2 linked regions of the Coturnix japonica genome follow. The protein of the gene in region 1 interacts with the protein of each later gene in a pairwise test. Links are inferred from orthologs where the notes say so. Each region holds a gene or a part of one and is shown on either strand. Other genes may lie near its edges. The genes, in order: GAREM1 and GRAP2.

Region 1 (4,069 bases):
CTTCCTTCTTGCAGAGGATCAAATTTAGTGCACATCAATATTTCATAACTTCATCCTGTCAAGAAATCAAACTGAACTACTTAAGGGCACTCTTCCAGGAGACGCACATCTTAACTCCATGCATGAAACCACATTCATCACAGCCCTTCTCCCCCTTCCAACTGCAAGGCCTGAAGGTGAGGCAGCAGTGAAAAACTTGAGATCTTGTATATGTGTGTGTATAACCTAAGAGCATTACCCACTAGCTCAGGCTGCCCAGGACCCTATCCAATCTGGAATTTCCTCTTAACACCTAATGTAACTCTCCTCTCTTTCAGTTCAAAACTGTCTCCCCTTGTCCTATCAAAGCCAGAAGGTGCCTGAAGACAGATATCAACCACCACGTGCAGTGCACTCAGCTCCCACCACCCCCAACAGGAGTTCAGCTCTTCAGGAACAGGACAGGCCACTTCCGCGCCAGTACTGCTCTGATATGCTGGTGACTACCTGCAAGCTGTACCATCAGCAGTGTGGAGATGAGAACTCTATACCTATCTGCCTGTAGCATAGGATTACACACATCTGGAACAGATTTTGCACTTCCTTCACTACCACATGAAGAAATTCTGACAGAGCTCTACTTGGCAGCTTTGCGGGATGAAGACAGGCACACAGGGTGAGCTCCCAGGACAGGAGTTGCTCCAGTCATCTGTCAACACACTATGTTCCCAGCTTGGACACCATGCACTGATTCATGCCTGCTTCCTCTTGTTGCAAGACAGCTTCCCTTGAAGACAGGAAAAGCGTCCTCTTGGTACCACTGAGACCACAGCGTCTGAGCTCTTTATAAAATATTGATCTGTCTGCCATCTGCAGTCCCTTAAGTTAAAAGGTGCATCTGTACAAGGAGGGAAAGCAGGCCTGAGAGCCTTTGTCTGCTCCATGCAGCTGCCTCTGTCTGGGCACTCCAGGACATGGTCTCACAGAGCGCATGACTGCCCACATCCACCTACACAGTGATGTGCTTCAGGTGCACACGGGTGATGAGCAGCCCTTACACAAAAGCAGCAGCACTTGTGTCTCTGGGACATCCTTCTCACCAGGTCTGGCACAAGACACCCCCAGAAACACATCCAAAAAAGGGGTGGAGGGGAAAAGATTGCTCACCTCCCAACATCCACAGAGAACTCCCAGCTCCCTCCAGAGGGAGCGATTCACGAGGCAGCAGACAGGCTGAGAAGGAGCCTGACACAGGGAGAAGGAAATCAGTAAGTCATCAATACATGTGCCCTGTTAGAGCCTGAACCACTGCCAGGAATCGCGAGTGAATTGATAGCCTTAAGTGCAGTGACTGGAGGCCATCTTGGCTGCTTCAGGGACAGAAGGTAGTACCACAGGAGGAACTCCTTCACACAGCAGCTTTGCCACTATTGCAGGACAACACAGGTTTGGCAGCACGAAGCACAGCCAGCTGCGGCTAAAATGGCAGAGCAGCCTTCTCCAGCCTGCTCCCGCACGGCAGCTCTGGGCTAAGGCTGGGAAGCGTGCCTCAAACCAAGGGACAAAGTCAAAAAGCACTGGCTGAGATTGCTGCAGGGTTATGGGAACTGCAGTTAAGCAGTAACCCAGCCCCGGTCCTGCCTAGCACACGGGGAGCTGCAGCATGCAGTGCCCACGCTCCTATTTCACTTTTCAAAGCAGCAGAAAACTTCGTGAGAGCTCCGATCAGTTCCATCGAGCAACTGCAAGGCCACTTCATAGGCTAACAAAGCACAGAGCCCTGACACGTTTAATTCTGAGTTACCCTCTGCATTCCTTCAGCGATGGGAAAGCAGGACGGTGTCAGGGAGACACGATGCAACGCTATAGCGAAGCAGCAGTACGAGCCTACGGAGAAGCCCCAGCGCTGCCCATCCACTGAGCGCTGCCTCCTCAGTGGGCACCGCCGCCGCCCAGCGCTGCTCCTCATCCCCCGGACGGGAGGCACACGCACAGCGGTTCGTGCAGGTGGGCGCCCAAGGGAACAGCTGTAAGAAGTTGTCAGGGAGCCGTGCAGGCTCCTCAAGTCACCCCTGGTTCTCACAGCTCCGCCGCTTTCCCAACAAGCGGTGACAGGAGACGCGCCCGACTCTGCCGTGCGATATTCCCCCTCCCTCGGCCCTGCTGCAGCATCGCGCCACCGCACCGGCTCTCTCGCACCTCGCGCCTCTCTAACTTGGTTTGGCAGCGAGCAGCCCCCGCACCCCGGCACTTTTCGCACAGCCGTGTGCCCGAGCCCCGCGGCACTGCCGAGACCGAAGCCCCGGGGCCCCGCGGCCGCCCCCGGTGCGGCTGAAAGCGGCCCGACCCCCGCGCGGCCCCGCCGCCCGCCCCACGCACCGCTGTCCAGCCGGGCGATCTGCGGGAGGCGGTAGGTGCTGACGAGCAGGTCCAGGGGGACGGCCACCGCGCTCCACTTCACGTCCTTCAGGCTGAAGCCCAGCGAGGAGCCGGGGTCCATCTTCCCGCCTGGCCCGAACAGGGCAGCGGCGCGGAGGGGAGGGAACCGGGCGGGCACAGCCGGCGGGGTCGCTCCCACCCGGCAGGACGGCGGCGGAAGGGAGAGAAGCGGGGAGAGAAGCGGGGAAGGCAGCTCGCCGCGCTCAGCGCCGGCTACGGCCGCGGGACATGCCGGGCTAGGCAGAGGGGGAGGCCCGCCGAGCGGCCGCCGCTGCTCCCGCCGCCCCCCGGCATCGGCTGGGGCCGCCAGCCGCCGCGCCTGGCCCAGGAAGCGCCATCCCAGCACTGACTAATCAACAGGGTGCGAGCAACGCCTGCGCAGCTGCCGCTCCTCCCCGCTCCGAAAAGGAAAGTGCCGGGCTGCCCGCCCGCCGGGGTGTGCCGCCGCCCGGCCCGGCCCTCTCACTCCACCCTCCGACCGCTCGGCCGACGTGCAGGGGAGGGGCGGCAGGTGGGCACCTGGAGCTGCCCACAGCGTGTGGACGTGACACTGAGAGCCGTGGTTAGGGGGCATGGTGGGGATGACAGTTGGTCTAGCTGATATTAGTCGTCTATTCCAATGTTAATGATGCTACAGAGTCTTATGTGATCTCCACAAGGTCAAACTGGGCATTAGGAAAAGGTTCTTCACCAGAGAGTGGTCAAGCACTGGAACAGGCTCCTCAGGGTCATGGCACTGAGCTGCCAGAGTTCAAGGAGTGTTGGACAACACACTCAGTCAAAGGGTTGAAATTTAGGGGGTTCTGTGTGGAACCAGGGGTTGGACTTGGTGATCCATATGGATCCCTCCCAATTCTGGATATTTTTTGATAAAATGTTTTCCTACCCCCCACAGCTTCTTATCTGCCTGCAGCCCCCCCACCCCTTCCTCCTCCTGCCCTGTATCAGGCCCAGCCATAACTGCGTGCTATGTGGCTGCTGCCAGCAGCACCACGAAAACAAGGAAGGCTAAGACAGATATGCTCTTGTTCTGCTTGGCTGCAGACAGACTGTCCATACTCTGAGATGAAATGACAACTATGGAAGCCAGAGGGGGTAACACAAACCCAAGTTAACTTGCTTTAAAGGGGTCTGGGTAAGGGTTTCTCACCCCTATGAAAGTCCTTCATTCTCTGAACTCGGTCCTGGTGCTGTTAGATTCCACTTACCGGAATTGCTAGCTTCACAAATATGAGACACTGGATTTTTTTTTTCCAGAGTTGCTTCCTTTTTATGAAGTTTGCAGAATGCTTTGAACTACTTCAGTGAATTGGGCTATTGAAGTGCAAAGTGATATAATAGCTAAAAGCATTGCTGTTGAAATATGGAAAGCCAAAGTACGGTTTTAACTTGTTTAGCTTTGCCAAGGTTTTTATGCGTAAGGTGAAACAGATCAGGTCAGACTGGGATTCACTAGGACCAGGAGCACGGGTCTGTCAAGAAGTGGCTTTAAAAGCGATCCCAACCCATGTTAATTTCAGGACAGACACAGCCTCACCTCACAGGCTTCTCTCAGGCATCACACAGCACTTGTGCCTGGGCAGAAACATTTCTCCCACAGAATCATAGAGGTTGGAAGAGACCTCTGGGGATCATTGAGTCCAACCTCCCA
Region 2 (2,743 bases), on another chromosome or scaffold:
AGCAGACACCGGTGGGTAGCGTACTTGCAGGGCCACACCTACCCAACTTAACGGGTCCCTTAGCAATGCCACACCTGTACAGATATTGCAAGAGAAACAGTGTATTGAACATGTTGGGGTGTATTGGAGAAGACACTTCTGAGTCTCAAGGCTCTATTGTGGCCACTTGAATCTCATTCTGTGGCACTTTGAAGGTAGGACTGGAGAGTAACATTAGCATATATATATGAGTATACTCAAAATCATTCTTAGTTAATGGAATTATTAGAAGAAGGAACTTAGCATCAGCTCACCACAGTAGGTATCTGGGGCATTGTAAGAAGGCCTGAGCTCATTGAAGAGTCCGGATCAAGCATGTAATTCGTTGTTTCCTGCTCATCTCTTTCTCCTTCCCAGCGTATACTGTGGGTCCGTGCCTTGTATGACTTCGATGCTATGGAGCACGATGAGCTGGGCTTCCGCAGTGGAGACATCGTGGAAGTCCTCGACAGCTCCAATCCATCATGGTGGAAAGGACGTCTGCGTGGGGAACTGGGTCTCTTCCCTGCCAACTATGTCACACCGGTGCTACTGTGAGGCTGCATTTGTGCCCCAGAGGTCCATATCAGAGCTGCTCGTCTGACATGACAGGGACAGAGAAGCAGTGTATCTTCCCATGTTCCCAGGGCATTTGGTGGTTTTGGTTTTGTCTTAATTTATTGGCAATTGATCTTCTGAGATGCTGGTGAGAAAGAGAACCCTCTGAAGGATTTTCCCCCCTGTTTTGCATATTCATGACTGGGAGGGGAGCAAGAATGCTGGCCTGTTAATTGAAATCTTGCTGGATCCTCCCTGCCCCATCATTCCTTTGGCTAAGTATTGATAACTTGCTGCAGTTAAGCTTGTTCTGTGGAAATTCAACTCAGAGAAGTCAGGCTTCAATATCTGGGTAGAACCTACCCCCTTTTTTTTCTTTCTTTTTTTTTTTTTTTTAATCTGGTTGCATTCATAGTCCCTTCAGGCTCTGTTTCACCTCTTTCAGAGGAAGGACAAGTGCCCAGGTGAATAAAATGATGACTGATAATCCCATTTCCTTTAGGCAGGGATGAAAAGCCCTTAAGCTGAGGTGCAAGGCAACCATGACTTTTATAAATAGTTTTTGGCTTGCACCTCTAGCACTTTCTGTGGACTTCGGCTGTGTGGATACCAGGTGAAAGGCTGAAATCCTCTAAGTTTATGTACAAACAACCTGGTGGTGAAGATATGGGAGGGTAAGAAGCTAATTTCAGTGCTTCTACAGACAGCCCTGCTCTCCTGTACTTCCATCTGCACCCTATAGCAACAATTTGTCTCATTTTCAAGCTGCTTTCCAAGGCACCTGTGCATCTTTGTAGATGTCCTGGTTAGAGCAGATCAAGCCCTTCAGCTAAATGAATATCATCTGGATTGGATAACAGTGGGCGAGCCTTACTGGTTCCTTTTTACAACTGAACTGGGGAGGGGCTGGGAAGAAGAGATTTTTCTGGTTTGGTGCCAGAATTTTTGTCCCTGCGAAGGTGGGGTGTTTTGGATCACTGCATACACAGCTCTGACTTGCCTCATGCGAATCACTGAGCTGTTACTTTACAGTATGCAGGGAATAAAGTTGCGGCCATTGAATAGTCTGTTCCAGTTTCTTTCACATGAAATAAGGTAAATGAATAGGATTTCAAATCGTGGCTGAGTGAATGCCAAGACGTGATACAAATATACTGCAAATGAATATTAAAAATGATCCAAAAGAGGCACTGCTGCATAACCACTGCTCACACAAGTTTATATTAAACAAGCTGCCTGATTTTTTCACAACATGTGGGACCTCAGCAGTCAGCAAGGAAGTGGTGATTTATCATTCTTGGGAAAGAAAGAAAAGGCAAGTGAAAAATTCTAAAAACAAATTAGGCTCGGCAAGAAAAATGTTCTTATCTTTTGTTAGTCCCAGAGGGAGGAAAAAAAAAAAAAAAAAAAAAAAAAAAGATCCAGGAAACAGGTTTCTGGTGCAGCCCAATTCAATGTTACTGGCCTAAATTAAGCTGCTACCTAGACAGGGTATTAGCAGAAAGGACCTACTGTCAAGGGTTTGAGAGAGCTCCACCAAAAGCAGATTATTAATGGTCAAAGTAAAATGAGAATAATTAACATATAAGCTCTCAATAGAATAGAAATCTTTGAAAGGCACATTAAGAGCTAATCTCCATTGGCTACCAGGGTAGTTCGGGAAATGGAGACAGAGCACACAACTCCCTGGGCTGGACGTGGCCTTGTTCTGATGCAAGGGCTCTGTTCCTGGCCATTAGCATCTTGCCTTTAAAGTGATGTCCATGTGGCTTGGTTTGGAACAAGCTACCTCACTAACAGGTATGTATCATCAGTGACTCTACAGGTTGAAGTGTTTTGTTTTAATTCACTCTTTTTATTTTTTCCTCCTTCTTTTTAACTAATGTCAAATATGGAAGACAGGGGGTTAACATTTGATGAGAGAGTGTGAAAACCCAAAGCAAAGATGGAACCAAAGAGGATAAAAAAAAACACCTGTCAAAGCAGAAGAGGGATAAGAATGATTATTCTTTCATATTCAGGTCTGGCTGAAACAGGAAAATGGTATGTTCACCCCTATTCCCACTGCATCAAATCATCTTTCAGTCAGTTCTTTTCTCTAGTTACTTTTAAAATTGGAAGTAGTGCCTCCTTTTCCTTTCCTCGGCACTTTAAAGGCCCTCGTGGT

What was found.
Region 2: the proteins of GAREM1 (region 1) and GRAP2 interact in binary tests that used the Homo sapiens proteins (3 or more experiments, as listed by UniProt). The link is inferred for Coturnix japonica from reciprocal best matches to the Homo sapiens genes GAREM1 and GRAP2.

Annotation. Positions count from the first base shown.
Region 1 is NC_029517.1:96,227,852-96,231,920, forward strand, and holds the start of GAREM1 (GRB2-associated and regulator of MAPK protein 1), read right to left. Parts: upstream 2,801-4,069; 5' UTR 2,480-2,800; coding exon 2,359-2,479; intron 1-2,358.
Region 2 is NC_029516.1:45,877,521-45,880,263, reverse strand, and holds the end of GRAP2 (GRB2-related adapter protein 2), read left to right. Parts: coding exon 1-11; intron 12-396; coding exon 397-576; 3' UTR 577-1,994; downstream 1,995-2,743. UniProt on the Homo sapiens protein: Interacts with SLP-76 to regulate NF-AT activation. Binds to tyrosine-phosphorylated shc.